Astyanax mexicanus: one gene and its partners. The protein of the gene in region 3 purifies or fractionates together with the protein of the main gene of each other region. This does not show direct contact. Links are inferred from orthologs where the notes say so. Each region holds a gene or a part of one and is shown on either strand. Other genes may lie near its edges.

Region 1 (10,991 bases), about 64 Mb from region 3:
AGCATTTCACACAGGCAGTGTCATGGGCAGACATACATACAATATGTTGACCCTGAACGTTGGCTTCTTATTGGAATCGTCTATTCCACCTTAAATGGCCCAGGAGTTACATTCTGGCGTTCAGAAGAACACAGCAGCCGTACCATTTAAGGTGGAAGGGACAGATCCAATAAGAAACCGGCGATTAAGGAACCAAGGACGAAAACATTCCCCACAGACTTAAACTGGACAGGACACAGGTCAGCTCACAGCCCACTGTCACACACCCCGCTAGTGACCTGTGTTTACAGCCCCCAGTTCACTGTTCACCGCTGTGACACAGTGTTTATATGCCCCCCTCCGCCGCCGCTGTCTTTATCTGTTTATAATGTGAGTGTTAGCCCCGTGCTAACGGGCCTACCGTCACTCTGCAGTCTCTCAGCTCTCCGCGTCCACTGTTACTCCCGGACACCTGCGGTACCGCTCCCTGTACTCATACAAACCCGACCCCCGGCTGACAGCTCGCTCCCCCGCTCCTCTAATCCGCTTTTATGAGCCCCTCTCTCTGCCTCAGACCCTCCATGTTGTTTATGAAGCGATGCGCGTTCACGACGATCACGTGACACGGTCGCGAACCCGAGAGCGAGATCCACAGACTAAAAAAACAAAACTGGAAAAAAAAAAAAAAACAGGGAAAATATATTAACAAAAACAATATCTTGTAAAATATATACAGTAAAACATACACTTAAATATACAGTAAAATATACATCTAAATATACAGTAAAATATACACTTACATGCACAGTAGAATATACACTTAAATATACAGTAAAATATACAACTAAATATACAGTAAAATACACACTTAAATATACACTATAATATACATGAAAATATCCAGATATTACATAAATAATATAAACTAATATATACACAAATACAGAGAATATTATAAAAAATGTTATACAGTAAAATATACAGATTTACAAAGAATATTAACAAAAATATTGTACACTAAAACATACAGATTTACAGAAAATATTAACAAAATTATATACAGTAAAATATACAGATTCACAGAGTATATTAACAGAAAAAATACACTAATACACACAATATTAACAAATATACACTGATATATACATAAATATAGAGATAAAATTAAAATAATAAATCTAAAGCTCTTGATATAAAAACACACATTTAAAGAGAATAATGACAAATATAGATAAAAATACATATGCAACTAATTTAGATTTTTAATCATGATATAAATAGTCTTGACAAAATATACATATTTACAGAAAATGTGCTAGCTAAAAAAATATTTAAAAGCTGTGAGCACTGACAAATTTTTACATAACCTTTTCTGATATTTTAATACTGTAAAGAGAAAGAAACATAATCTGGCATAAACATTAAAGCAATGTGAGTAATGTTATATGTGGGTATTGTTATTTATAGACATTTTGCCCAAACTTTTGATGCAGATTTTAGCAAAAAGGTTTTAGTTTTTTTTTTTTTACTATATTAATTTGTATAAACGTTTATTTCATAGATTTGTCCTTCTGTTTTCTTTACAGAACACAGATTCAATAATATGTGTAAAACTGGGTAAAAAATTAACCCAGTGGTGGCTTAGGGTAATCATATACAGTATTAGTGCAACTCTATTAACCCCAGTCTGAACACCTTAAAAACAATCATAAACAAATAAATATAAAAGAATGACCTTTTATAACTGGTAGATGATGGAATGGTGTGGAGATGGGGAATGTGGAGACTGTAGAACAGGCATTATTTTCGTACATATGCAACTTACTTGCACTTACATTTCTTTGAGTGATTTAAAAAAATATATATTTGCTGGTTAAAGGATAGATCAAAGAAATGAAGTGGCATGAGCCAGAGCAGGAACGTTCAATGTTTCTCGTGTTCTGTGTTAAAGAATTGCTTTTGCTCCAGCACACCTGGGTCTGATATTTTGTTGGATCTGAAAGCTCTCAACAGATAATTCAAGAGTGGCCAAAAAGAGTCTACAGCTGCGTTTGGAATCTATCCCTATAACAGAAATAGTGCACTCTGTAGTGTGTCAACTATTTTGAAGTGCTGTTTGATCTCAGTAGTACATTTAAACCCTCAGATTTTCCACTTGAGATAGTGACTATGTAGTAAGTGACCACCACAGAGCAGTTATTATTTAGGTGATTGGTTGTTAACAGCACTGCAGTGGCCCTGGGCTGTGCTGCTGGAGTTTTTAAACAGTGTTCATTCTCTGTCCTCCACTCTATTAGACACTCCTACCTACCTGCTCCACCTTTTAGATCAGAGACAGTAGCTCATCTGTTGCTGCAGTTTCTGTTGGTCTTCCTCTACGTTCCCACAGGACGCTGCTGGCTGAATATTTCTGGTTTGTGGACTATTCTGTCTAACAGTCACACTGCGGGGTTATTGTCCAGCAGCTCTTCTGCACCACCTCATCAGTGTTACTACAGGGCTGTGAATAACCGACCAGTGAAAGACTTGAATAACGTACCTAAAGTACTTTTGCTGAAGTAGCAAAAGGTCAGTTTAACATGGCTGTCTTGTACACATGAACCCCACTGTGGGTTTGCAGAGAAATATACTATGTTCAAGAACGTGCTAAAGCATTCAATTATGTGCTTAAACGTCAAATAACATTCTGCGTAATTCAGTAATTTGGTGCATATAAACACTGAAATGTCCAGAAATGTGATGTAACATTCAGTAAAATTCAGTGTAACATGCTGCAGTAATCACTGACACATTAAATACATTGCAGAAGGAAAAAAAATACAGAACTACATTCTGGTTTATTGTTTTTTTTATTTTGAAATCTTTAAAGAAATTGCAACCTCATCACACTGTCTTATTCTGGACGTTGAAAAAAAAAAAATCCTACTTGCGTTTCTTGAACACTGAAAAGTAAAAGTTCAACAAAAATTAATTGTCAGTTAAATCCATATCAATTATATTAAAAAAAGATATAATAACGACAGCAAATATCAAAGTTTGGGAAAAAAGTAAGTGCAATATTCATTAAATCCAGACTTACTTTTCTTTTTGTTTTTCTTCATAAGCTTCTTCTTCTTCTTTGGTCTTTCCACATCCTACAACATAAAAGAATAATTATTTACTATGATAATTTAGATTATTATTCATTAACAGACCTGCTCCATCTGAGCAGTTTTGAGAACATCACTGCTGTGTAGAGATTATGCTCTCATGATTTAAGAGTTTATGGTTTATTATGAGTGATTTTAATAATGTTTTTCAATGTGCTCACCGCTGTCTGCCTGCCAGTCAGTGCCGTGATGTCACTGAAGTGTGTGATGTTGCCCAGTTGTGAGGTCATTCCCACCATCCGCCTCTTTTTGGCCTTCTGTTCTCGGGTAAGACTTAGACGCACCATCATGGACTCCTCATAGTTCTTCCTAAAGAAAGACAAAGAACAGTGATCTGTAAACACTGAGGCCAGACATTGCAGGCATCATCACAGAAAAAAAAATCAACCAAGATGGGGTTACAGAGGAGCTGCTTCCCAGCAGGGAAAGAGAGAGTGCACAGCAAGTTATGTTATGCAAGGATTGTACCTCCAGCTTTATAGAGCCAACACAGACAGCTAATACAGTACAAAGTATATTAATCTGTTATTCATCTACAGTAACTCTATAATTCAGTATATTTTTCTTACCTGTGTCTGTCCTCTTGTATCTCACGATCAGTCTGGAAATCTTGGCGGTCCCGGATCTCCTCTGGAGCATCACTGTATTGTCGCCGGAGCTCCTGGATGACGGAGCTGCGCAGAGCCGCTTTCCTCTGCTTATCAGCAAAGTCTTTCTGCCGGTCCGACTCGGTCATATCCCCGCCTGCAGTTCAACAGACAAGACAATTTTACCAAAGTGTATGTGATCTGTTGAGCAGCACTCAAAGCCACAGTCTCACCACAGTGATGCTGATTAAATACTTCCATAAGAAACTGATTTGAATTTGAAAACATTATTTGGATTATTGGATTATTACTAAACCATTAACTGAATCATGCATTTTACCATAATGCATTGGGGCAATCTTGGGTGGTACGTATTTCCTGCCAAGTCCTGTTTTCTGATCATCTTTTTCATCTCCTGGTTCATGATCATCATCAACATCATCATCTGAGTCTTCAGCTTCGCTGAGCTGCATAAACATAAAAATACAATAACTAAATTTGGAATCCAAATGTCACATGACCAGGTACAGGCAATTAAAGGGATCTGAGTGGGTTTTACCTTACTGGCGAGATTCTCAGGATTTGGACGAAAGTGTAAAGGATCATTCGCGGCTGTAACAGAAGATACAACTCTAGTTAGGAGGCATATTCATATTCACTATTCTTTTGTGATACACAATGTATTCCTGCACACATCTGACTTGAAACATGATGAGATTTTTATTTAATCCACAAAAGTAGATGAAGAAAAAAACGGATTAATTAATGAAGCAAAAGGGATAACTTGCAAAGGTGAAGTGTGAGGTGACCACAGTGCAATTATAAGATCAAGGATAGGAACAAAGCAGATTATTCTAGTCTTATATATTCCATTTTAGGAACAATTAATTGAATTATTTGTGTTTAAAAATATGGGGTAGCAATTCTCACTCCTATGTTTCAAGAACATAAATCTCGGTATTCATGTTCTAAGAAGTGTTTAATGGCTTGAACAAAGGAAATTAGAGAAATCACGCCCCAATATCAAACATGTAAACCAGGAGTGTCCAATCTTATCCTCAAAGTATCAGTGTGGCTGCAAGTTTCGTTGGAAACCCATGGTTTAATGACTAACATACCAGTGCAGTCTCTCAGCCCTTTATACCAGTGAAAACAATAAATCTTACCCAGGCTGCCAGTGACTGCTGTACGCACCAATTTATCAATCTGATACTTCAGTTTCTGATCCAGGGGACGCATCTTTTCCAGAACCTAAATATTATTAAACAAACAGAGAAAATATTAGAGCCTTTTGATACAAACATTGAAGAAGAACATGGGCCCTGTTTCTCCAAAGCATCATCATCAAAAAAGAATTGTATAGTGCTTTTTACAACTGATGACACAAAGATGCTTTACAGAAACGTGACAGTCTTAAGAGATACAGTGCCAAGTTCTTAAGTTAAAAAAATAATAAAATAAAATAAAATAAATAATTATTTGTCCCTTATTTCTGGAGACTAAACAAGTATCTTACTGTTCTTATGGTGACAAGCCTGTGAACAGCAGCACTGTCCTTCAAACTGTGTCCTTCTGACTTCAAGCTGATCAGATGAGTAAGATCTTGTAGGTAAAACAGTAGGAGGTGATATCGCAGGTCCAGAAATGACAAGCCCTGCAACCAGAACAGTGTCAGCAGAGAAACTTTAGCGACAGATGCATTTATATACATTCAGTAGAGCTCTGTTCTTACCTTGGACATCTGATTAGCCTGTCCTTGGACTTTCTTTATCAAGTCCCAGACATGGCTCGTCACAGAAACCACCTGAAATTAACAACAGGATTTAATAAAGCCAGTCATAAAGGACGTTCCTCAATCACCCCACGTGGATTATAATCAGTATACCTGTTAACAGTATAACTGTTTTAACTTTGTTTTTTTATATAAAGTTTTTTTTTTGCATAAAACATTAAATGAAAATAACATGACATAAGAGAAATAAGCTGCAATACAATTATTATTTTAAAGGATCTGGGCCTAGTTTCTTAAATCTTAGCATTATTCTTTGTTAGTTATGTTCATTTGTCAGGAACAGCAATGATGTTCTTGGGTCAGTTTGACCTAGTGCATGTTTAATTATAATAACTAAAGATGTCTCCATTTTTAAACTCCATTATCATAGCTTTATTACATGCTAATTATTCTATCAAAATTTAGTGCAATGGTGTTCCTTCCTTCTAACAGATAATGGTTCAATTAGGATAATTCAGTCATTTTTTATTAAAAAAAATACATATTCAAACATAATTGTTTACTGCTTTATTACCTTTAAAAGACCAACAAATAAAACAAAATAGTTTTACATAACACTGAACATAAAGTTTTGTTTTAGTTTTTGCAGGGGGTGGTTGCAAATATGTGAGATGAACCATTTTCTTTTTCTTTTTTCTAATTTTTCCCATTTTCTCCCCAATTTACACAGCCAATTACCCAACCCACTCATTAGGACTCCCCCTATCACTAGTGATGCCCCAACACACCAGGAGGGTGAAGACTAGCACATGCTTCCTCCGATACATGTGAAGCGTGCCACCGCTTCTTTTCGAGCTGCTGCTGATGCAGCATTACCGAGCAGCCAGCACGCTTGGAGGAAAGCGCAGCGACTCTGTTCCGGTACATCAGCTCACAGACGCCCTGTGCTGCAGTCATCAGCAGTGATGTGGGGAGAGAGCGCCATCTACCCACCCAGAGGGAGCAGGGCCAATTTTGCTCCCTCTAACGCCGGCAGCTTGATAGCAAAGCTGCATGAGCTGGATGAACCATTTTCATAGTATATGTTGATTACACTAATTAAGACAAGCAGAAGAAATTTCATACTGAAAAAATATTTTTTTTACTATGTTTACTTGATCTTTAAACTTTAAAACAGGACTCCTAGAATAAAAGGAGGGTTAGGAACATCCTAACTTAGAGAGAGTCCTTAAAGTGAAGCTCGCTTGACCATCTAAAAAGTCATCTTAGTGCTAAGAGCCTTTTAGGGAAGCCACCCCTGGTCGTTTTATGTACCTACATATAGAACATTTAAGGCGCTGTTTCAGCAGCTTCTGACCTGTTCTGTGAGTGTGTTGAGGAGCTGGACAGCTTTGGGTAAATCATCACCAACACAGACCTGAAAAAAGTTAATAATAAAACAACAATATGTTAACTAGTTTTCATTTATAAATCACAGACAAATCAGGAGGGAATAGCAGGTAAAGGTAAAACTGTTGTTTAGCGTTTCCTCGCTGGGAGAGAGAGTCTGTATTCAGGTAATGTGGGTAGTTAGTGTAGTGGGATTTATACAGCGCTGGGTCTCCTCTCTGCAGCTGCTCCTCTTTAAACAGTAGCTACAGCGCTTCCATCTTCTATACAGTTTTACCGTCTTATAGATAAGACTCTAGTCGCGCTCGCCCGTTAATAATCAGCACGTTTAGCTCATTAATCCGCTTTATAAATACAAATTTACCCACAAACACAACAACTCACGTTTTGTACACCGTTGGCCGCCATCTTGAACTACGGCGAGCTGTTTAGGACATGACGGACAGCTGGTCGGTTTTCCGTTGCGCGGTTTTGCTGTTCAGCAGGAGTTAGCTCGTGGCAGTAGTTTTAGACAGAGAGACAAACTAAACCGATTAAAGTATTTAAACTATTAGTTTGTAAAACAAGCGTCAAAAGTGTAATTTTATAAGGCTAATATTAACATTTACTCCTTGACACAAGGCACATTAAAAAAAAAACATTTATATTTATGTTAATTAATATTTAAAACCCTGCTAGAAAATCCAGGTCAAGACTAGCTGGTCATTTAAATAATAAAACAAAATAACATACCATGTTTTCTCTGGATGACCAGCTGGTCTTGACCTGGATTTTTTTGCAAGGGACTCTATTTAGCATCTTTAAACTACAGCAGTGACAATGAGCCAAGTTTTTTGTTTTAGGGACAGCTTGTGTGTCATGAGAGTATTGCTAGTGTCGAGTTACGGTCGCATCTCGATCTTGATCTTTCAGTTTAAGGTGTTAATGTTTAAGTCAGTATTTTTCTCGTCCTGCATTCAGATAAAGTTAATTGTGTTTAATATTATCGCAAGTCTTTAAATAATTTTGGCTCACTCAATTAGTGATGTGAACAATGTAAAACAAGCTATAGGAGAGCTAAGGGAAGTCGCAAGGCAAGCGTGGGAACGTTTACGGAACTGGACATGGATGAGTTTCCAGAGATGGCTCGGAAACCATGATTCTCCTGGAGTGTTCTAAAGGTGGAGAAACTGGTGGAGCTGTGGTGTGAGCAAGAGTGTTTCTTTGACGTGTCTTCTTCTAATAATAATAATACAAAATTAATAAAATAAGCTCTAAAAGTATGTAGTTGCAGTTGGGCAAATATAACACTTCAAGGTCCCCATGATCTTAATTTGTGACTAAAACTTCTGTCAGTAAAAAGTCTGTGACTAGTCTTTAGATGTGAGAGGTTGTCAGAATAAAGTCTAAATTTAGTCTGTTAAAAGTTTTTTCAGAATTTTTTTTTCGTAGTGTTAGCATAAGGGGGCTTCTGACTGACTGCACTCGTCCTTGTTGCAAGTGGCCTGCATCTTTCTGTGAGTGAAAAAAGAAAGAAGAAAAAGAGAACTGGTGAGTAAAGCAGATAATAGCAATTAAATATATATCACTAAATAATGTAATACTACTAGTCTCCACTTATTATTTTAATGTTTAACATTATCTAGTTAACCTAGCTAGCACAACAGCCCATAACCTGTTCAGGTCTGCTGGCTGTGAAGTGATTAATCCAAAGTTACTAAGTTAAGATAAAAAATTGTACAGATTTATTCTAAATGACATTTGCTCTAAGCTGTTTTTGTGTAAACTGCTGTGCTATGTGGGCAGTTTATGTGTGTTTTATTGTATGTTTAATATCTGACGTGCAGGTTTTTATGATACAAAAAGGCTGTAAATGATGTGTTTATGTTAGTATGTAAGAACTGTTGGTGTCACATCTAGAACATGATGGCGATATACGCTGGTTTGAGGGGACCGTGTGACCAATTTTTGCCTACAGGGCCCCAACAGACTTTTAAAATTGTCACTGGTCATTCTCATGCAAAAATCAGAGATAAACCGATATATACACATAAAACACATAAAAACCTTAACATAAAATACACATACTAATACAAATTAAATTCTTCCAGCTTCCAGTTATGATTTAAAATATCACAGAGCGCACTCTCATATTTCTACACTAGATGGCGCTGCATTCCTATTTGTGTGTATGTGTGAGTGGTCAGTAGATGCGGTTCAGGTTAATAGTCGCTGTAAAGAAGCAGCTGGAGGGTGAAATAAGGCCGAGACAGATGGAGAGTGAAGAAGGATTGTATAGGAGAGATTTACTCTGATTTATCTAATTTAGTAATCTGACTAGAGATACACATGGAGAAATAAGATGTGTAAAGTCAGGCAAGTCCGTTTCTTGCCACAGATGTAAAGTATTTTGTACAATTAATTTGTACTTATTTTTTGTCTTTTAAAATCAATCCCATGTTTTTTCATTTAAAGAAAATTTGACGTATCAAGGGCTTTAAGTTTAACTTGGTTTAAGGCCTGAAAGTGACTGGTCCAGATCACTTCTACACACTAACCCTGTACACATATTTTATATCGTGGCCTCCTGGTGGAGGTGCTTGTGTCACTGTTCTCATTTTTCTGTCAGTAATGTCTAATTTAAAAAAAAAAAAAGATATATATATATATATTTATTTTCTCTGTAGTCATAAAACCCATCAAAATGGTTAGGATGAAACTGGCTCTTATCAGGACCGCCCCAGGAAAGGAAGATCAAGAGTTCCCTCTGTTGCACAAGAAAGGTTAATTAATGGTTAAGGTTAATTGAGTTACCAGCCTCAGAAATTGCAAGTTAACATCACCACAAACTAGAGCACCTAAATGCTTCACAGATTGAAGTCTGGATGACTTCAGTATTACAGTTTTTGTCAATTGCTAATATACTAAAATGATGTGCATGGTATAAATATTAACTATCATTATTAACTGTCATAGAAAGGGCAAAACCTGTTCTCAAGTATCCAGCACTCTTAACACACAGATTTTGCAATTCAAAACACTGAACAATGCACTGATCCACGGTTCTCTGTACAACAATCAGACACAACAATCTGACTTAAAGTCACTTAATTCCATACAGTGTTTGCTATTTGGTGCAAAAGTATGATTCTGATAATGCTATATGTAGTTTTGCTTGCAATGCTTTATTTTGGACATGAGATATTTGGAGTTTGCAAAATTGTGTTTTGGCAGTTGAAAAAAACTGCAATTTACATTGTATGAAACACAAAAAAATAAAAATATTGAATGAGAGGGTACTTTTGGCTGGTAATGTATATTTTTCACATATTGCATGGTTCATGCCAACAATAAGTTAAATAAAAGGGAAAAATCTATATTTTACATGTGTTATAATGCAAACATACAAGGTAAATATATTGATATATATATGTAAACATATTTTGTTCAGACAGCTGATCATAATGAATTTTGTTGAATTTATTAGGAGCTGAAGGATTATGAGATTTTGAAAGTATTTAACTGCTATGACAGTGTAAAGTGTGTGTGTGTGTGTGATGCAGGTGTGATGTAATTAGTGACCATTCAGAGTGGACAGTAGGTCAGCATACTTAAAGAGAGCAGTGTTTTAACTCATGTTAGAGTAGACAGTTTCGAGCAGTGGTGGAGCTGACCTTCAGGAGACACCGTTACTGTTAAACATCTCTACATGACAGACCTTACAGGAAACACACACACACACACACACACACACACACACACACACACACACACACACACACAGATAATCAGCTAAATGCTTTTACAGTAATAAGCCCACCACCACTGTGCTCACTGTCTGTAAACAAAAGGCAGAAACAGACACATGCACACACACTATTTACAGGCCGTAGTCTCATCAGTAAATGGCCTTACAGATACTCCCAGACCCCCTGTGCTGTTGGGGGTCTGGCTGGCTGGAAAAGGTGTAGTTAAATTAGTCCTTAGCTTCAGAGTCATTTACTGGATTAAAACCTCATAGACCCCTACTTACCCGCATAGTAGCCCAAAGACCTCCACTGGTGGACAGCAATCTGCAAAACCCCTTTTAGACCTGCACTAACCTATAAAGACCCACGCAGATCCACATAGTCCCTCCTAGACCAGCACTGACCCACTCACACACGTGCACAGTCC
Region 2 (10,991 bases), on a different chromosome or scaffold from region 3:
TGCTACACTACCTGAGTTATGTGATACAGTTGGATACTGAATACAGTAATGAGGCTGTAACAGAAACAAAGGGCAGCTACCATATATGAATTACCCCTGTGTCTAGAACTACCTGTAGGGTATGAGAGGACAGATCAGTGTGAGTAAAGGTAAAGAGCTTCAGATGGTGGAGTAACAGAGTAGAAGGATCAAACGCTAGAAATATAATTTTCCTATAAACTGTGCGTAGCATGGTTGTAGAAGAGTCACTCCTACCTGGTTTACAGTGTCATTTGTGTTTGTGTTCTGCAGTGGTTGGTTCTTTCCAAGAACAGTCTCTGAATAGTTGCGCTGGTCACCCAATCCTGTCCCAGCAGCCGGTGGGTCCAGGCGCCACCTTTAACCGCCAGCCGCAGTCCTTTTACAACAGCCGCGGAGTGTCCCGTGGAGGACCTCGGAATTCCCGGGGTGTGATCAACGGCTACAGAGGACCATCCAACAGCTTCAGAGGTACAGTACGGTCTTCTTGTGTTTGCTTTATATTGATCATCAAATAAACAGCTGCTGCCAGAATGAAGTATCATATTGAAACACTGCATGGAAGTAGGTAAAAGTTAGAAAAACAAAAAAAAATCATTCAAAAGTTTGACTAATATGGGCAATATTTATTATGCTCCACATGTAGAAATGACACCAGTCTTTCAGGCGTGTGAGGCATAACAAATGGTTTATCTTTGTGCTGATACACACTAGGGGTGTAACGGTACAGAAAATTCACGTTCTGGTTCACACCACTGTTGGGTAGGTTTTCGGTACCGTTGGCAGAAAAAATAAAGAGGCTGGGCATTCTGTATAGCATCTCCTTTATAAATTCATTTTCATAAATTTTGACTAAATGTCTTGTGCTGTTGTCTAGAATGTTTGTAATTTCTTTTCTTTTTAATGTGTGTATCTGTAATATAAATCTGATAGGAGGCTACGATGGTTACCGCCCACCCTTCTCTGGGACTCCAAACTCTGGCTATGGACAGGTGCAGTTTGGTGCTGCTCGAGACTATTCCAACACCAGCTATCAGAGAGTAAGTAGATGTTTATGAACTTTTTGTGGTTTTGGTCCAGAGGAAAATAACTCTTGATTTAAGTGTTTTTTTTTTTTGTTTTGTTTTTTTTTTGCAGGACGGCTTTCAGCAGAATTACAAACGTCCCGCTGGGCCGGGTCCTCGCGGTGTCCCCCGTGGAAATGCCCAAGCCATGCGGTCCTAAAAGTCCTGGAGACCGTTTTGACATGAAGTTGCACTTAGTGTTTAGTCAGATGTGGAAACGCATAAGTCCAACTCATTCAAACGTATGTTTCAAAAGTAAGGAACTTTCTGGGCACAAAATAAGCAAATTAAGATTATACTGTCCGTTTTTAGTGCCCTTAAGTGTAGTGCGGGACTGTCTATCCTGCACTACGACTGTGTTTAGTGTTACTCTTTGGAGAGGTGAACATAGTACAGGGCTACACTTAATATAGACAATGACCCCAAGTTCTGTAAGAACTAAAATACCACTGTTGAGGTTTTAAGCTAGATTGTGCACTTGAAAGATTTTCACTAATTTATTTTTTATTTTTTTATAAAATTAAAGGTGTGATGCACCTAAAGTACTTTTTCTTATTAGGTTCACAAAAGATGCTCTTTTTAAAAACTCAAAAAGAATTTAAAACAAGCCCCAACTCTTCAATTTGTATATTGATGTTGCTTTGAGCGTTTCAATAAAGATGTGTTGCATAAACTCTAATTGTGTTACATGTACAATTTATCACAGGTATATTAAGTACGTATTCTGCTAAATAAAATGCAGTATATGGTGTATTTTACTCTCACTGATCCAGGATGGCGTGTGCACTTATTTAGTGTTTGCAGTGGAGAAAGCAGTGTTGAATGCTGCTGCTGTACTACGCCAACACAATTCATCTATTCAAACTTTTCGTCACAATAATTACTGTTCAGACATTTCAGATATAAGGCTCTTAATATGTTCCTGCTGAAATAATAAAGGGTCTTGGTGAGGTATGTGTTGTATCACATGTTTGGTAGGTGACTGGGGATTTAAACTGTCTGTGTTTAAGACATGATTTATTTAATTCTTTAAACAGAAACAGGAACCACCTCTAGGTTTTAGATCAGGTGAAGGTGGTCAGATGGCTTGGCATGTGGATCGATGTTAATGTGGAAAACAGGTATCACTAATATTGAGGAGAAGTGTAAAAGTGTCCTCAGTGTACTTAAATGCCTGGAGGGCTGTGATTGAGGGGCTGATCGGTGGGTGTATGGAATTGTTTCTAAACGCACTGGTCACTCTTTCAATATTGTTTAGAGCTTTGTTCACTGCAGTAATGTCTGTATATTTTATAATGTATCTGAATTCATCTAAACTGCAATAAAAAAAAACATAAAATATTTTTTATTACTTAAAATCTGACAACAGCCTGAACAAGTGTTACACAAAACTGTACATTTTACTTTAGTAATTTTATGAAACTTTATAATGTTACTCCACTTGTAAATCTCAAATGATTAATATATTTACTGCACAGCTGATGTAGTTATTTTTCAGATTATGTTTCATACACATTACATCTTTCCTCACCTGATTTAAGTTAATTTAATCATTACTTTATTTTCCCTCTCGAGTTGCAGAGGACCTGCTAAACTAAGGAATCCACTAAATACTGCAGGAAGATGCACCTATAGGGCCAAGGCTGAAAAACACAACTGTAGATTGAGGATTTAAACACCACTAAAATACCTCTAAACTTCAATTTAAACATTACAATTGGTTTGGAATTAAGCAGCATAAAGAAGATTTCTCCCACTTTTACCTAGCTCTTATTTATTGACATTTTTTTTGGTAAAACAGATTTAGATGTTTAGTTGAGCATGGATTTTAATCTGAGCTGTAAAACACCTGTTTACAAAGAATAGATTTTTAGAACCAAAAAAGTTGCTTAGTTTATACCTAACTATACCACCCCATCCCCATTATAATTATGTGCACTGTAAACATCATTAATAAACAATGTAGTCAACACAGGTTTAAATAATAAAGGGTCCAAGCACCAAATGAGCGGGAACATTTTTGTTCTTCGTTTTTTTTGTTTAATTATTTTTCTCTGATAAAACAGAACAACAGAACAAACCGTAAGTTGTACAGACATGACGGTTGGTCGACAGGTAGTAGTCCCTCCCGCTACTCAGGCGCTCGGGCTCAGGCCTATGGGCCTGATGGTGGCGCTATAGTGAAGCATCAAACTTCAAAGTCCATATCTCTTACCCCGTATGACACAATATGCAAATGGAATTTTTTTTGTGTGGGTAACGGTTGGAGAAGTAAAGTCGGACAGTCTCCACCTGCAGAACTACAGCAGATCTCATGGTGTGGCTCTTATAGAAGAATAAAAGTAGAAAATACATATAACACTTATATGTATTATTTATACGAGAGGAAATTATATCAAAAGTATTCAATATTCATTTTAAACTTACCTGGTCTACATAAAAATAATAATAACAATAACAATAATAATAATAATAATAATAATAATAATAATAATAATAATAATAATAATAATAAATAAAAATGAATGGCGAAAATTATCTTGTTTGCAGTTTTTAAAACAACAAAGCAACAGTTTGAGAGAATTTAAAGTGAAAAAGTAAAGGATATAAAATACTAAAAGAATTTTGGTGCTCAAAAAATACTACCAGACATGCTGTCGAACCGAGGCCGGCGCTGATTTGGGACACAGCCCAAATGCGCACTCTGTAGGGTGCCCCGGCTGATTTGGGACACAACCGAGCGGGGTCCTTTCTCCCGCTGTCGCAGAAGTTCTGACGTCAGATCGGGCACTGTGTTCCCACGTGAGCGCCGCAGCGCGTGTGCTGAGAGATGATCTGATTCAGTAAATACAGGAATATTACCTCCCGGTTTATATCAGATTTACCGCGCAGGGTTCAGCCTGGAAACTGCAGCAGCGCGCGGGGTACAGCCTGTCTACTGATACTGAGTTTAGTGTTTAGGGTTAGTTATAGTGTTAGTGTCGGGTGTTCAGTGTAACTGATATTAAATAGTAAAGTGTGAGCTGTTGTGTTCCTCCTGCTGCTGCTCAGGGCTTCTGATCCGGTTCAGATCAGCATGGCGACGGTTCGGAAGAAGGTGGATAACCGGATCCGGGTGCAGATCGAGAACGGAGTGGCGCTTCATCACCGCAGCCTGTTTGTGGTGGTGGGAGATCATGGTCGAGATCAGGTAACGTTAGATTCCTCAGCCTGTTCCTCCTGTAGCTACACTAATACACACGTGGAGTTCAGAGGAACCTCCGCCTGCAGCATGTTTACATTCTGCTCTTCACATTAACCTATTTAATCCAGCAGATCAGTTTATTAACATCCTGATCCTGCTGTTAAAAGCAGGGCATCACTAAAATATGTGCAGCAGGTCACTGTTCTCCAGGTCCAGGGTTTGGAGTTCTCTGCGAGTTGCTGATGGTGTCAGTAGTTGGTACTGATACAGGGTCTGTGCTGGTGATCTGATTGGCTGCTGTGCACTGGAAAATACCTCAAAGGTTCTTGTTGAAATTTTCCTTGAAATGGTCACCATTGATTTGCTCACTTGGGTCTCGGCTCTAGAGCTCTGTTAAGCTGTTTCTCCACTATGGAGAAAATACTGATACTTCATAATGTAACACTATTAACTTATGCAGTAATGAACACAGCAGTAGTTTACAGATAAAGATTAGTTGCATGTAATCATCAGTTGATTCAGTTGGTGTGGTGTGTACAGTGTCTTCAGATCCCACTGTTCACATATCTTTTTATACATTAAATCATACGTTTTTATATTTGGAACAGTTTGCTAAAATGTAATTACATTTTGTGACCCTGTTTAGTACATTTATTATACAAGGTTGTTGCCAATACAGTATTAAGTGAAATGTGCTATATGATGTAAATGAATTCAGTTGAAGGAGTGGTCTGGGTTCAGTCTGTTATTTAAAACAACAGTATCACATGTTCGATTGTTTGAGGTCAGTGTAATGTTTATTAATTTAATTTTCGAACCATTTGTGGCTAAATGCAAAAATAGAAAATTGAATGTAGAAACTCATTTTCATTTTTTTAAATGTAGTGCAGTGTACAAGAAATAGGTTTTCATCCATTTATCTAATTTTTTTTTTCATTTCTGCCCCTCACAATCATAATTTCAGGGGGGGAAAAAAATCTTATTTTCAGATTTTGCAATTTTTGCATTTTGCAATTTTTATTATACCATCATATTTTGGTTACAAGATAGAAAATGGACCGATCTGAAAATTGAGAGAAGATTCCACGTTTCATTTCTCTTAAAATTCTGTTTGGGAAAGGCTCAAATAAAAAAACTAGATAATTTAAAAGTTGGATGAAAACCTATTTCTTCATCATTTAGAATTTAGCTTGATACAGTCAGAAAATTAAACTGCTAAATGTTACGCTGACCGTTTGACCTGACACTTTGCTTCTACATTTACATCCCCTGTGTTCTGCTTCTGTGTACGCTGCAGGTTGTCATCCTGCACCATATGCTGTCCAAAGCTACAGTGCGAGCAAGACCATCAGTCCTTTGGTGTTATAAGAAAGAGCTTGGCTTTAGCAGGTGTGGTCATACATATGATTCTACAAGTTCTTTTCAACCTACATTCAACTGAGTTCACTACAAAGACAAGATATTTAATGATTAAACTGATAAACTCTATTGGTTTTTGCTAATTGTTTTTTACTCATTTTGAATTTCTAAAGAAGTTGGGACAGGGTCAGCAAAGAATGGGAAGGTTGAGGAATGCTCAAAGACTGTCAGAATTGGGTAAAAAGGGAGCATCTCTAAAAGACTCAAGGGTTGGCTGAAATTCACCACTTTGTGAACAACTGCTATGTTAGAGCCCATGGCATGGAGAACCTGTACATCTCTGAAGCTCCATTAATACCGAAAGCTTCATCCAGGTTCTGGAGAAACACATCCTGCTGTCAGAGCAACGTCTTTTTTGGGAACGTCCTGCTTATTTCAGCAAGACAATGCCGAGACACATCCTGCAGGTGTTCCAGCAGTGCAGGTACGAAACAGAGACCCGGAACTGCTGATCAGCTGAAGACCTACATCAAGCAAGAATGAGAGAGAATTCCACCTAAAGACCTTTAACTATTAGTGTCCTCAGATCCCAAACTCATACTGAGTGTTAAAGGAAAGGTGATGAAACACAGAGACAAACACAATCCTGTTCCAACTACTTTACAACGTGCTGAAGCATCACATTCAATATATATATATATGAATATTAATTGCCAAAACCAATAAAGTTTATTAGTTTGAACATTAAATATCATGTCTTTGTAGTTAATTTAATTAAATAGGTTAAAAAGGATTTTCAAATCATCAATTTATGTTTTTATTTGTTCACACAATATTTCCCCAACTTCATCAGAATTGGAGTTGTAATATCACTGTAGAAAATGTGTAGACTTTTAAGTTGAAAAATGTGATCAATTTGCAGTAATCGTAAGAAGAGGATGCGACAGCTGCAGAAAAAGATAAAAACAGGCACGCTGAACCTGAAGCAAGACGATCCCTTCGAGCTTTTTATTGCTGCCACCAACATCCGCTACTGCTACTACAACGAAACCCACAAAATCCTTGGCAACACATACGGCATGTGTGTTCTTCAGGTTTGTCACATTTTCCAACTTTATGTTCAGAAATGAAATCCATGTACTCTGGATAGATGTGACTGTGTTTCTGTTTACTTAAAAGGATTTTGAGGCTTTGACTCCTAACCTCCTGGCGAGAACTGTGGAGACAGTGGAAGGTGGAGGCATTGTGGTGATTTTGTTGAGGACCATGAACTCACTGAAGCAGCTCTATACAATGACCATGGTAAACGTCTTGCTGGTTGTTGGAGATTTGGAGTCCAGTGTTAAAGAGTCTGGTTGTGGTTGGTTGTGATTGTCTGTGGTCTTTTTCAGGATGTTCATTCCCGCTACCGGACTGAGGCCCATCAGGACGTTGTTGGACGGTTTAATGAAAGGTGTGTAAAATACTGTATAACAGAATATCATTAGGATGTTAGGATGTGCGAGGTCACTTAAGGCAATTAAATCAAACACGTTGCAAAGTTTTAATTCTTGACACAAGAAGTAGATACACAGCGCTGTCTCTGTTTCTGTATGAGTGACAGGCTGCCGCTGCCTGAGAAGCTCAAGGGGGCGGTGGGAGGGTGGGTGTTGGCAGGAGTAAACAGCAGGTAACCGCACGGCCTCCATCCACATGGTTGGGTGTGTGCTTGTAAATGCACGTGTGGAAAGCTGTGCACCTCAGTTCAGCACAGCTGTCAGTTACAGCTGAATTCACACTTTTAATCCCAGAAATACACGCTTATTTACCTTTTAAAAAGCCTGATTAAAGGCTTCACTGTTGTTGTGCTGTTTTTCTTGGGTTTTGAGAGCTTGGTGCTGATTCAGCTCATGGTCGGTTCAGACACGAGACAGCGCGCAGGTGGGGGCGGGGCTGGTGATGTCATGGGCCATGCATTGTTAAATATTGCAAAATATATAGTAAAAAAAAAAAAAAAAGAACATTTGCAATGTACAATTTTTCCGATATCGTGCAGCCCTACTAAAGATGTTCAGCAGATGTGATGCAGAACATTTTCATTTAACCGACTGTTTCCATTTCATCTTCACAGGTTTATCTTGTCCCTGTCCTCCTGTCAGACCTGCGTTGTTATCGATGACCAACTGAATGTTCTGCCGATCTCCAAGCACATTGCAAATGTCAAACCTGTCCCACCTAAAAATCAGGTATGATTTGTCAATAACACGTCCTGATCATTTACCTGGACTGCTGTCCTTCATGCTGTGTGGCTCTTCCTACAGGAGGAGGGTCAGTCGTCAGGGGAGCAGGAGCTGCAGGACCTGAAGGAATCGCTGCAGGACACTCAACCCGTGGGTGTTCTAGTGGACTGCTGCAAAACCATGGACCAGGTACGGCTGAAAGAGCTTTTATCTAAGTTATATTTTACACGAATAAAACGCTCAGCAAAAGTACTTGTGCAAAATTAGAATATCATTAAAAATAAACTTTATTTTTGGCAGTGTGCCAAGTCCTGCTGGAAAATGAAATCCGCATCTCCATAAAAGTTGTCAACAGAGGGAAGCATGAAGTGCTGTAAGACACTGCACTGACTTTAGACTTGATAATAAAACACAGTGGATCAACACCAGCAGATGACAGACATGTCTCTCCAAACCATCACTGATCATCAGTAAATTTTACATTTCATTTATAAATTAAGGGAGCAGGGTCTGGAGGAAGAGTGGACACACAGTCCAAACTGCTCGAGGTCTAGAGTGAAGTTTCCACCAATCAGTGATGGTTTGGAGAGACATGTCATCTTCTGCTGACTACCTCTTTGCAAACTGGATGTTGTTTAGCCCAATGCTACAAACTGTAATAATCCGACTAATTGCTCTGTTGGATTGGAACACAGCCATGTGATCTGTTAAATAGAAGAATTATAGCCATGTTAACGCCTGCATGGGATTACGTTTCCAGTCAAAACATTTAAGCACGTTCTCCACGCGCACTGGAATAGAGGCTTCTACAGTACATGTCCTCCGTCTCACTTGCCAGGACAGTCTGTCTAAAATCACAAAGGATCCAAATCATTTCACATCAAATACATTATCTACACAAGTAGACTTGAGGAAAAAAGCCATTTTATTAGTTAACATTCCTATAAAAAGAAACAAAAACATTTCTCCCTTTATTTAACATACTTTTCGGACTATAAGGCACACCTAAATACTTACATTTTCCCAAAAATGGACAGTATAATCCAGTGAGCATTACATATATGAATTGTACCGGTCAGGCATTAGCATTAGCCACTAACTGCAGCACTAGTGCTGTTCAGAAGTGAGTATATTAGACTGTAGCCTTACTGTGTTAAAACAAGCTTCGTGGGACAAACCTCTAGCTGATATCACCCTGACTTACCCTGGAAATCTAAGCTTACTGTAATTAAACCGAAGCGCTTTACCAAACTAAATAAACAGTTTTTAGGAGAAAAATCTGTGTAGATTAACATCCAGCACTCGTTTGACTTTGAAAGAAAAGTTTTTTTTTTTATTTTTTTTAATACAGTTGTGTGATCTGATGAATTAGAGGCGAGACATGGTGATGCCCTTCTAGTTTGCATTTTTACTAGTGTCACTTTTTAATCCAGTGCGCCTTATGTACGAAACATGAAAATAGAAGGAAATAAATGAGATAAAGCTTGGAAAGATGTATAGATGCGTCCCTCGGGCAGCGAGACGCAGGATCATATTTTTAATGATTTTATTCTGTGTCTATGTGTGATTTTCAGGCAAAAGCTGTGCTAAAGTTCATTGAAGCGATATCTGAAAAGACTCTGAGAAGCACTGTCGCCCTCACTGCTGCCAGAGGCCGGGGCAAGTCTGCAGCTCTGGGGCTGGCTGTGGCCGGAGCTGTGGCCTTCGGGTGTGTGGTGGTATTCTGTATATTGTTTAGTGGCACACATCACCTTTAATCAAATGTTTGATTAAAACATATTAAACTGTATGATCTGTTTATTACAGATATTCCAACATCTTTGTTACGTCGCCCAGCCCAGACAATCTGCACACATTGTTTGAGTTCATATTCAAAGGCTTTGATGCCCTGCAGTATCAGGTAATGATCACAGTTAATTTTACTAGCTTTTACTAAATCTATATAGAGTACCAGTTAAAAGTCTGGACACACCTTCCTATTCAGCGTTTTTCTGTATTTCTTCATTTAATATTAAAAGAAAACTATTAATCCCCTGATCTAAACCTGATGAACTGAGCGTGAAGTAAAAGCAACACCCCTGGAACTCCTTCAAGATGCTGAGAAAAGGTGACTCTACCTCTTGGCAATTAAGTTTGGCTGTGGGCCAGATATTTTTTTCAAGCCAATACTTGGCGGGCCGCAAAAATAAATTCTGTTTTGTAAAATGAAGTGCAATGAGACTAGTAGCTCTCCAGGTCAGTGAGTTGTTAAACCCAGTTACAGAACAGTTGAATTCAAAGCAGATAAAAAAATAAAATAAATTAAGAAAGGAAAAAATACATAAATAAACACTCCGCTCCTCACACGAGATTGAACCTGTGTCGTTAGGGTCATGGTCCAATACTCAACCGCAGCCCCGGCTAGTGAATTGGGACGTGGCCGGGGAAAAAAAGCCCTAATAAGGAGATGAGAACGGGCAGAAAAACAAGAACAGCTGGAAACTGAAGTCACGCAGAGTGCCACAGAGAGAGAGACAGGGGAGGCATGTAAACAAAAGCACACCAGAGAAGATTTTTATTTTTTTTCATTATGGTTCAAACAATTGCCGACCCCTGCACTCCCTCTTGAAGACACTGAGATTAAAATATCAAAAGTGTGCAGATATGTCCCCAAAGATAAATGTGACACTTAGAAGAATCTAAAGTATAAAACATATTCTTTTTTTAACACTTTTTATTTACATATTTCAGCGTGTGTTGCTGTAGAGCTTTGATAAATAATATAAAATATTAATTAATAATATAAAAATCATACAAAAAAAAAGAAAACACACTGAATAAGAAGAGAAAACGTGTGTCCAAACTTTTGACTGATACTTTATATGTGCTAGAATTGAAGGATATTTTACACGGTGTGAGTTGTGTGGTCCTCTTCGGTCTGGATGAATTAGGGCTTAATTTTGTTATGTAATTGTATTTGCATAATAAGTGCAGTGTCGTCGTACAGAACCTTACATATTGTGATTAATAATATAATTAAATGCCAGTTATATATCAGAATGCATGGTTATGTTAGGAGTTTATTTATCTTTAAACTTAATGATCTTGTCTGGCAGGAACATCTGGATTATGAAATTATCCAGTCTTTAAACCCCGAGTTTAATAAAG
Region 3 (10,991 bases):
AGTGGGCCCTCATTACCAAGGTTGAACAGAAGTTAGAATAGAGTAAGAAGAATACAGTGAACACTGTGGCACTGTATGGATTTGTTCACTTCCTCCACCAGCATCTGGTTTACTTCAATAAAAGATTGATTAGATAACCTAGGTGTTGGAATGTAACTGTACATACTGTCAATCCCTAATAATGCTATTAATAAAATCTGAAATTATTGTACATTTCGATTTTTTTTATGTTATTAGTGTTTTTAAATGGTATTTCAACAGATAGAATTTGTTTTTAGATTTTTACACACAATATTGTACTATTTACATACGTGTATGTAATTTATGTGCTCAAGTTACATATCAATATCACACAAAAACCATCAGCAATATATGGCCTAAAAGGTAATATAAAATGTAATATTATACAATATCTGATGCTTCTAAATTAAGAACATCTTGATATGCGCTGGCCCTCACCCCTGACTATTTGTCCCACCAGATTATCAAGGTGAATACTACGGCCCAGGAAGCAACTATGACTACTTCCCCCAGGGTCCTCCGTCTTCACAGGCTCAGACCCCAGATGATCTAGGCTATGTTTCCTTGTCTGGCCCCACAGGCACCCCTCTGGGGAGCATGGACCATCATCATTCGGCTCATCACCCGGCTGCTGAGAGCCAGTGTTTCGGGGAAATGGTAACACACCACCCCGGGGACTCCCCCAGTCCGGAGCCCAGCGGGCCTGCCTCCATTCGCACCATCTCCACAGACATGGGTGTCCCCTTCACCTCTGTAACGTCACTCAGCACCAACGGATACACCAACCAGCTCTCCCAGCCCTCTTCAGAAATGAGTGAAGGCACTGTATGGTAGCCCATGGGCATTATGAACATTCAGGCCGAAGAAACGCAACAAAACGGACTCAGGTTTTAGGGTGGCCTGGAAATGTACTTTTTCGGTTGTGATCTTAATATGGATGTTTCAATAAGTTGATCTATGTATTTATATATTTATTTATTTTGTTTGGTTTTATGTTTATTTATTTAATATATTTATATATTTATGTCAATAAATACAAGCAGGCCACTGTATTGCACCACTTTAATTGGTTTATTGCGAATTTATATTTGTGTATTTATGAAATGAATGTCAAAAAGGTGTACAAGCACCCTACAGCAGCACTGTTGATTGTCCTGGCATATTATAGAAGACAACATTTATACACTATTTATGTTTGTAATATATCAGTTTATCATGTATCATAATCAAAGATCGCAAAGCTGATTGCCTTTTGCGGTTTTGTTATATCAACTCCGAAATGGAATCCCTTCTTCAAACCCAAATAAACATGTATGTAACTGGGCAGTTACATTATTTCCCAAGTTTCACCAAATTTCAGAGTTTGTCTGTAAAGGTAAAACCTAAAACAGAGTTCTAAACCCTTTATTTGAAATAAAAAAGGCTTGAACTGTAAGACAAAGTCTACCTTATGAGAACAATTTCAGCTGTGACCTGTAGTAGACAAAAAGCAGTCAACTGTTTACGACTATTTTCTTCAGGGGTTTAAATATCAGCATTATTTAAAAAAAATCTTGGTGCAGATGAAGAATGATTACTTTTTTTTCCTCAAGCGAACAACCAAACTTTTGTATTCATTCAGTTTAAATTTAAGTTGTGATTCACTGTGCTAATTTGTATGATATTGTGTTTGCACAATAAAAAATAAAAACAAATACTCAACATAATAGGAATTCAGGTGTTTGATGATGATTTCTTTCATGAAACCAATTGCAGATTTTTTTAAAGGGTGTTATATATGTTGTGAATATAAACATATTTATTTCCTAAATATATTTGAAACTATTTTAGAGCTACTAGAGCTGGAGTTATACTCAATTATGTTCTAAAGGATAAAAGAATGGTGATAATTTATCATTTTCCCCATAGGTAGCCAAAACATGTTTAATATCAGATATTCGCTCCTTCAGTTTTCAACATGAGATGCTAGGCTAACACTGCTAATAAACATGGAATGTATTTGTCTATTGAAAATTTATATAGTCTTATAATTATAACTAATTTGGTTCAATTTGTCAAGGTTTCTTAACTTCCTGTTGTAGCTTGTAGATTTCCTAAGCCCACATGGGATTTGTTTGACAGCACTTCTCTGAAGATCAGAAAAGGATAGTCACAGATTTACACAAGCAAGGATTGTTTCTTGGAATGACTGCAGAGTTGAAGATCATAAGTTTAAATAAATGCATGTAAGTACAAGTTACTAGGAGATGTAGCCATCTAACATGGCAACCATACCTGAGAGAATGTTGGTCCGGATTGTCAGGAACAACCCAAACAACACCAAGGCAAAGAGCTGCCATGAACTGAAAGCAGTTGGTACCGTTTCTCTGCCTACAGACAAGACCATAAAAGTTAGATAAGACAAAGACCATTCTGATTGACCATAATGACCAGAGATATATTTACATCTGAAAGCATACTGTATGTTACATGTTGCTGGTAAGCATGGTATTCTGGAGCTGTTTGGTAGTCAGTTGAATGGGTACATTCCACAAAGTAAATGAAAAAAGGTAAAAGAAGGACAACCTCAGAATTCTTAAGCATAACCTCAAACCTGTCATTAAAGACCTGGTGCTCTAACCACTGCCACTGCTACCACTGACCCTTTCCTGGCCCTCTTGGTACACAATGCTATTGACACATTTTACCAGGTTTAGTTAATTTCAGAATAATTTTTTTTTATATAATTTTATTTAACTTTTTCCCATTTTCTTCCCAATTTACACAGTCAATTACCCAACCCACTCACTAGGACTCCCCTTATCACTAGTGATGCCCCAACACACCAGGAGAGTGAAGACTAACACTCCCTAACGCTTCCTCCGATACATGTGAAGCCAGCCACCGCTTCTTTTCTAGCTGCTGCTGAGGCAGCATTGCCGTGCAGCATCACAGGAGGAAAGCACAGCGGCTCGGTTCTGGTACATCAGCTCACAGACCCCTAGGAGTGATGTGGGGAGAGAGCGCCATCTACCCACCCGGAGGGAGCAGGGCCAATTTTGCTCCCTCTGAGCGCCGGCAGCTTAATGGCAAAGCAGCATGAGCTGGAGTTCGAACCTGCGACCTCCCGCTCATAGTGTCAGCGCTGGACCACTCGCCGCTGGACCACTCGATGCCCATTTCAGAATAACATTTAAAAAATAAATACAAAATAACTTTCATTGAATGCGGCCAGCTTACCTTTACTGTTCTGACCAGTCAATATTTGAGGGCTCCATGTATTTAATTAGGAAGTTTTCACAGGAATAATAACTTATACCATAAACAAGACAATTGCTTATATCCAATTTGGATTAGTGGTGATAGCTAACAGATACAAATGTATCCAAACAACAAAGTCTATATAATGCTATTCTATGGAATATCATATACAGTAACATGACAAATTATATGTGCTTGTTAAACTCTTTAATAACTGCAGCTTTGTTTTAATAACTTCAAAAGAAGCTAAATTTACTAAAACTTTAGCTACCAAAGTATAAAAAAGTTTATGATGGGAGTTAGGGATAGTGTTAAAGTTAAATCTCAATAGTCAGAAGTTAATAACCATCAGTGATAATATATGAATATTTCTCACTAATGTGAAAATACAAACTTTATTATATATTTTTTCCTGAACCCAGAATTGAGTGAATATGAACACTGAACGCTGTGAGGCTCCAGCTCATCTCATATCACCTCAAATCACCCATCTCAGTTGGGTTTAGGTCAGGGGATTTGTTTTGTTTACTATGTAATTGTGTACATGTACCTTAATTGCTATGTCTAATTTAATCTACAATTAAGTGCGGTCCTATAATTTCCCACAATTTAAAGGTTTTACAGTTTTAATGATCTGTTTTGTATGTAATATCTCAATTCAAATTTTGAGGTATTTTTCAATTGAATTCTGAATTTTGTACCACCCTTCTCATAACAGATGCCTCTTACCACTACTCTGTAGTAGCTGCGCGCACACAAACACACATGTTTCTTGGTGCGGATGGTTTTACCGCCCTTGTCTGAACCCGGCTGTCTCTCCGTGATGACGCAGAGACTCTGAAGAGGCAGCATGGCAGCCTCCATATCCCAGCAGCTCGAGGAGCTTTTAAACCCTTTACCGACCTTCGCAGATCCCGAGGACGACCCGGATGAAGGTGCGTTACTGGCGGGTTATTCGCTCATCGTTTGGCTGGTTTACTGGCGGCGGGTATTAAATGCTGAGTGGAGAATGTGGCTGTGAATGGCAGTGCGCGTGCGGGTCTGTCTAATGAGAGCTAGCTAAAGCTAACAGACACTGTTTACTTAGCTAGCTAACCTAACCAGCTACTTATAGCTACATAACAAATCACAAATCACTTTATCTAATAGTTCTTATGAATGTTTTAAGGGAAAATAATAACTAGAACGTCTACTGAACGTTTTTAACAATGTTTCTTGTCTTGGCTTTGGTCCCTAATCATTCCGCCTTACTCCCTACCTAGTGCACTAGCTAGGCTATGCTAGGTATGTTGGTAGCTAGTAAGGTAAGCTAGTTAGCTAGCTAGTTAGGTTAGCTAGGTTAACTAATATAATTTCCAACCCTATAACTAGCTCGTATCCAGTTTAAAGCTCATATTTGCTCAGCTGTAGACTGTGAGACCCTGTACACTACCACTCAAAAGTTTGGACCTCTACTTCTCATTCAATGTGTTTTCTTTCTGTTTAAGATTTTGTACATTATAAATGTAATATTGAATATATGAAATCCACACAGGAAAAAGTGTTTAACAGATCAGAGTTAGATTATTCTTACAAGCCACCTTTAGGGTACGTTCACATTACCAAGCTGAAGTGACTGAAATCTGATGTTCTGCTCAATGTGACTTAGATTAGATTTTTTTTTCATGGCTGTGTGAACATGCCAAATCAGATTTTTTCAAGTTAGATTTGAGTTACTTTGGCTACGTTTACATTACCAGGCTAAAGTGACTCAAATCTGATTTTTTTGCTTAATGTGGCTCAGCTCAGATTTTTTATGGCTGTGTGAATGTGCCAAATCCATTTTTTTTCAAATCATATTTGGGTCACTTCCATATGTGCTTTTAAATCGGATATGTATCCAATCCATGGGTTGCACTTCGTGCTTCTCTCTCATACCCACACATCTCTTGGTGCATCTGTGTAGCTATCGCTGCAAAAACAGCAAAAGCAAGCCACCTGGCCTTTTTCACCTCCTCGACCTGAACATGTACTTCAGACGAAATGTTTGCTATGAGCTATGAGTTTTTTGTTGTTGTTGGTGAAAAATGGGGTTTGAGCAATGTGGCTTGTAATGTGGACATAGTCTTAGCTTTGAAGACGTATCTGCACACTGTTGGTATTTTCAGAGTGTCTTCATGAGGTAGAGTCACCTGGAAAAGTTTTCTCAGTGTCTTGAAGGAATTCCTCAAATCACTTTCTCAGCTGTGTTCAGTTGAGTAGATTGTGAAATTCAAACACTTTTTACTGTGTCCTACATAATTCCATATGTGCCCCATAATTGTTTTATGTCTTTAATGTTAATCTACAATGTAGAAAATGGATTAAGTATAGAAATAAGAAAAAACATTGAATGAGAAGGCGTCTGAACTTTTATCTGTTATGTTTTATTTGTAAGCTATTTATGTGTGTATTAGTGATTATGTCGTCACCTCTTTGCATAGGTGTGTGGCGTAGGAAGGGAAAACAAATAAACTGATACAGTACAACAGCAAACAAACTTAAACCTTCACATTTAACACTTATATTATATAACCTACTAAAAATCAAGCTAAGACTAGCGGAAAAAACATCTTGTGCTGGCCAAGAGCTAGTTAACAAGCTAGCCTACCAGCATAGGGTGTTTTTTCCAGATGAATAGCTGGTCTAAAGCTGATTTTTTTTTTTTTAGCAAAGTAGGAATTAAGGCAGCAAGACCATACATCAGGGCTGATGGACAGGGCATTTCAGATATGGAAACTGGTTCTTAGGCTTGAACTAGAGACTTTCTGGTCCCGGGCCTGCTTCATTAATCTGTGGAGCTGCCTCCTGTGCTGCAGTACTAGATGTTGTAATGTCAGTAAATTGTGTTCAGCTAGAAAAGATCCCAGCTCATCCCAAAGAAGTTAGCTTCAGAACTTTTGAGAATGCAGAAACTAGTGCAGAGGGCTAATGCAAATTTTACTTCATTTTTGCTTTTGCTTCATTATGCCCTAAAATGTCATATCTGTTCCCTTCAGAAACATCTGAAATGAACAAGCTGTACTGTATTTCGATACAGCGATATATTGTATTGTTGGATATTATTGTTTAGATACGATGTGTCAAATTTCGATATTTTATTTGGAACGTAGGCACACTAAAATCCCTAAGACTCACAATAGACAGCAGTTTGTTCTTATTTAATTCTAACCTTTGTATGCTGTTGTCTTTGCAGAAACCAAAGCCAGAGTTATAGACAAGTTTGATGAAGGTGGTAATGATGACGACAAGGATCTCCAGTCTGGTGGGCTGCGGAAGCGTGCCCCCACTCTATTGGCAGACACTGATAAACGCTATCAAGGCAAAGCTGTATCACGCAAACAGCTGCGAGAAGAGGCTGATGGTTCAGGTATGTAAAAAGACCGATCAGATATGATTTTTTGTTTGTTTTAATAATGTATGTATTTTTATTTTATTTGAATGATTTTTCTCAGCTGATGATGATGATGATGATGATGATGATGATGAAGATCTTGACAATGAAGAGCTAGGTGAAGATTTGGAAGATGAGGAGGAAAGTGTAGAAGGTGATGAGGAGGAAGATGAGGATGATGAAGATGAGGACCTAAACGAGGATGACAGTTCACAGATGTCCTCCTTGGCCACCAAGATGAAAAGGACTGACCTAAACATCCCTAAAGAGATAGACTTCAGGAAGTTTACTGAGGGAATGGACGACCTGGGAGAGAGTGACTCTGAGGAGGATGGTGAGATGGACGAAGAGGACAGTGAGGAGGAGGAAGGAGAAGACGATGAGGATGAGGAGGAGGAGGGTGATGAAGATGATTCTGGAGGTGTGATGACCTTCTCAAAGCAGAAAGTGGATGAAGAGGTGGAAAAGGGCCAAGCAGTGAAAAGTCAGCTTGGTAAGTGTTATTATCTAATCTGACTATGAATTAGATGTAGTGTAGTGGGCAGACTTTGTGAGCCTCCCTATATATTATAATAAATATAGTAAATAAATGACTTGTATAAATTATTTTATTTGTTAATAAATCTGAGTGTGTGACTGATATAATGCTATTTTTTGTATGTGTGCGAAACTACAGCTGTTGCCCTGTGCAATGATCAGTGTTTTATGATTAGTGTTTTGTTATGTTCAAACTCCACAGCTCTTTGGGATCAGTTACTTGAAGGACGAATCAAAATGCAGAAAGCCCTTGTAATGGCCAATCAACTTCCACAGCCTAACACCTTCCCAGAATTTCAGAGTAAGGGTGGGGCAGAGTATGCTGGAGCGCTGAAAAACAGTAAGTGGAACATATTTACAGAGGTTGGAAGTATTTTTTTTTTTTTTAGTTTTGTCATTTGTTTTGTGCCGAAGATTGGTGAAAATATATCATGGAACCTCTTCTATGAAGACATTGTATTATATTGTAACAAAAACATTCTGAAATGTTTATATTTTGTCTAGCTATTACATAATTTACTTTTTTTTCGTAAAACATATTTGTTTAATTTCAAGAGTGCAATAGAACATGATTAATCATAAAAAAACCTTATGAATAACTATTTTGGCGAGTAATTCCCTGTCTCTCCATCGTTTTCTTCCACATTTAAAAAAATATCAAGCATATATATATATTTATAGTTTTTGTCTAATCATTTTACCATTTTTTTATGTTTCAATTTCATATTTCACAGTGCAGTTGCAACATCATATATACTGGTACATATGTTATTCCAAGTCATTTGAAGTTTTGGAATTGGTCCGATCGTGAACAAATTTGGACATCGTGTAAAGAACATCTGCCAGATTATGTATGGAGAAAAGTTTTGCGACAATAATTAAACATTCAGTCACTTTCTCACGTGTATAAAACCAAGCCCCTAATCATGCAGTCTGCATGTTTTTTTTTAAACATTAGTGAAAGAGTGGATGAGTTTACTAAGTTCCAGGGTGGTTCTGTAATAGCAAGGCAGTTGGTGAAATTACTTTCCTCCTAGATATTCCTCCATCAGCTGTGAGTGACACACTATGTGGCTCAGCATCTGCTGATCCAGCTCTGTCAATTTGTTTGGCCTACCACTTTGCATTTGTTGCCAGTTAGTTCCACTTTACAATAATAGCACTGACAGTTGACTGTGGAATCTTTAGTAGTGAGGAAATTTCATGACTGGACTTGCACAGGTCTTGCACAGACGGTATCCTACCACGGTACCACGCTGGAATTCTCTGAGCTCCTGAAAGCAACCCATTCCATCCCTAATGTTTATAGAAGCAGTCTACATGCGTAGCTGCTTGATTTTAAACACCTGTGGCCATAGCTGTGATTGGAAGACCTGAACTCAATGGTTTGGATGGTTTGGCAGTATAGTGTAGCTGTTAAGAAGAGGTACCAAATCCATATTATATGATGTCTGTAGGTGTCCCAATACTTTTGTCCACATTGTTATGCATATGTATGTAATTTAAAAGCTTTATTTTGCCTTGCCTTTTAAACTTCCATTGTTTGTTTAGAGTGAATTAAAGCCAGAAAATCAGAATCCCTCGTACTTTTCTAATCATAGGCCACACTCTCAGGATTCTTTTGACTACGAACAATTAATACATTTGCGCTCGTCTCCTTTCTTAAGCACAGCGCCCTGCTTTCAGAGACTGGCTGCTCCTCATTTGCATATTTATTGCCTGGGTCTTCTCGGCGGCGAATGATTGATGTGGGGCCGTCCTCCTGAATTGTGAGCAGCGCATTGCTATGGGAGAGAGGGCGGGGGCTTTTGCCGAGCTCGTGTACTTTTGATTAGCGTTGAAGATGATGGGATCTGCGTGCCCTCCCCCATCTTTTTCCCCTTCTTACACTCTCTCTCTCTCTCGTTCTTTCTCTCTCTCCGTCTCTCTCTCTCCATAATAATGGATTACAGGATTGCTTTTTTTTTCTATTCAGGGTTTAAGACATGAATTAATAACCGCTGACGTAGAGACCAGCAGAAGCTGTGTGGCTTGTTTGTTTGTGCAGGTTTTCGAGACATGTCATATTGTCCATTTGGCAGCTTCACAGGGAAGCTTTGGAGATAGGATGCTTTTTTTCTTTTTATTTTTTTTTACCTAGTTGTCATTTTGTTTTTGTTTCTGCTATGGAAGAAGGTGAAGCGTCAAACAGTGCCATGTGTTTGTCCTTTGAGGTTAATGAAATATTGTGTGAACCCTGTCTCTGTCTCTGCTAGGCCACAAAGCCCTGAAGGCTCTGCAGAGATCTCTGCTGGAGCTGCAGGATCTGCTGCTGTACCAGAACCCTGACACTAGAGCGATCTCACAGGGAAAAACCTGGGGAAGTGACAGGTAACTCACACCACAGCAAAACCTGTCACTTTTATATACACCGTAGCTAGGTTTAGGGACTTCTTTTTATATTATATATTTTTTTAGTTTAATATTCCTTTTATATTATATTAATATTACTAATATTAGACATTCAATGAACATAAGATTTTTGATTGAAACCAAACAGTTATTTTTACAGTCAATATAAATAGCCCAAATGTATTTTTTGTCTTGCAAACAAAAAGCAATTTAAAAACCACAATTAGATGTGGTAGCAGAAGTACCAGAAAAGGACAATATATTTATCCTAGCAGTGCACTTCTAGTCATCAATTTTTTTTCAGCCCTATTATTCATATTTTAAGATAGATAAGATGCCCCAGCAGTGTTTTTTAATCATAGATGTACCTCAGCAGTGCAATTCTAGTCATACATTTAGGTCAATAACGCCATTATATACAAAAATGTATTTTTCATCCATGCTGTTCTAGTCACACATTTAGTTAGCTAGCTAGGCAGCTATCTCAGCATTATCATTTTATTATCACGGCTGTAATAAATAAATAACATCTAGCTAGCTAACTCGAAATTTACACAGTGGAAAACAATCTTTTGATAAACAAAGATAGCTGAGCTTACGTTACTCTCTTCCAGTTAGAAAAACAGCCAATATGTGAAGAAATAATAAACTTAGCTATGTTACTATACTAAACATAAGTGATCCAGTTATCCCTAATAAAGAAGAGATGTTTTACTAAACTAAATGATTTATTGAGGTTCTGCAGAAAATTCTGAGGTAGAAAAACTTCTGAATATGGCTGTATTTTTGACAAAAAAAAAAAGTTTAAATTGATTCGGTTTTACTGCGTTTGCTTAAAGCTGAAATTAAGGTATGTATAATTAGTGTAAATATACAAGAAAAAAGAAAACTCTAATTCTGACCCTATTCCCCATATAGCAAAGCTGAAGAAGATGAGGAGATTAATAGTGATGAAGATGAAGATGAAGAAGAGGAAAGGCACACAGGTCTAAACAGACCTCCCAAGCGGAAGCTGAACATGACAGATTATCCAGATTTCATGGCCAAGCGATTTGTGGCCTTTCAGCCCTACCGAGACGCCACCCTGCAGAAATGGTACGATAAGACGCGGCTCACCATGGGAAAGACCAATAAGGTAAGTGCAGGATCATATTTAAAATTAATAAAATATAATATAAAATATTAAAAATGGACATACTGTGTACGCACTTTACTGTTTTTGACTTTAAAAAATCATTAATGATTGCTGTTAATTGCAATTTCACTTTTTATTAAGACTAGTAAAATAGATTTAGTAAAACGTGTCAAATAAATGAACTTGAACCAGAAATTGCATGTTAATACCTTCTAAAATTAATAAAAAAATGTTATGTTTTGTCAATCTCTTCCC

The links.
Region 1: the proteins of aatf (region 3) and ngdn purify together in Homo sapiens (affinity purification with mass spectrometry; 3 studies listed by BioGRID and IntAct, with this or other methods). This does not show direct contact. The link is inferred for Astyanax mexicanus from reciprocal best matches to the Homo sapiens genes AATF and NGDN.
Region 2: the proteins of aatf (region 3) and nat10 purify together in Homo sapiens (affinity purification with mass spectrometry; 3 studies listed by BioGRID and IntAct, with this or other methods). This does not show direct contact. The link is inferred for Astyanax mexicanus from reciprocal best matches to the Homo sapiens genes AATF and NAT10.

Annotation. Positions count from the first base shown.
Region 1 is NC_064408.1:89,576,609-89,587,599, forward strand, and holds ngdn (neuroguidin), read right to left. Parts: upstream 7,296-10,991; 5' UTR 7,245-7,295; coding exon 7,221-7,244; intron 6,865-7,220; coding exon 6,805-6,864; intron 5,520-6,804; coding exon 5,448-5,519; intron 5,370-5,447; coding exon 5,232-5,369; intron 4,967-5,231; coding exon 4,882-4,966; intron 4,328-4,881; coding exon 4,275-4,327; intron 4,183-4,274; coding exon 4,056-4,182; intron 3,873-4,055; coding exon 3,698-3,872; intron 3,438-3,697; coding exon 3,290-3,437; intron 3,114-3,289; coding exon 3,059-3,113; intron 2,922-3,058; coding exon 2,902-2,921; 3' UTR 2,810-2,901; downstream 1-2,809. UniProt on the Homo sapiens protein: Part of the small subunit (SSU) processome, first precursor of the small eukaryotic ribosomal subunit.
Region 2 is NW_026040047.1:1,200,846-1,211,836, forward strand, and holds the start of nat10 (RNA cytidine acetyltransferase), read left to right. Parts: upstream 1-3,855; 5' UTR 3,856-4,158; coding exon 4,159-4,272; intron 4,273-5,563; coding exon 5,564-5,655; intron 5,656-6,547; coding exon 6,548-6,719; intron 6,720-6,804; coding exon 6,805-6,927; intron 6,928-7,016; coding exon 7,017-7,078; intron 7,079-7,735; coding exon 7,736-7,850; intron 7,851-7,925; coding exon 7,926-8,033; intron 8,034-9,418; coding exon 9,419-9,552; intron 9,553-9,650; coding exon 9,651-9,744; intron 9,745-10,939; coding exon 10,940-10,991. Other genes in the region: caprin1b (caprin-1b), read left to right, coding at 292-489, 952-1,058, 1,156-1,242. UniProt on the Homo sapiens protein: RNA cytidine acetyltransferase that catalyzes the formation of N(4)-acetylcytidine (ac4C) modification on mRNAs, 18S rRNA and tRNAs.
Region 3 is NC_064408.1:25,956,814-25,967,804, reverse strand, and holds the start of aatf (protein AATF), read left to right. Parts: upstream 1-4,059; 5' UTR 4,060-4,111; coding exon 4,112-4,196; intron 4,197-6,475; coding exon 6,476-6,649; intron 6,650-6,734; coding exon 6,735-7,166; intron 7,167-7,412; coding exon 7,413-7,550; intron 7,551-9,465; coding exon 9,466-9,580; intron 9,581-10,519; coding exon 10,520-10,736; intron 10,737-10,991. Other genes in the region: LIM/homeobox protein Lhx1b, read left to right, coding at 482-855. UniProt on the Homo sapiens protein: Part of the small subunit (SSU) processome, first precursor of the small eukaryotic ribosomal subunit.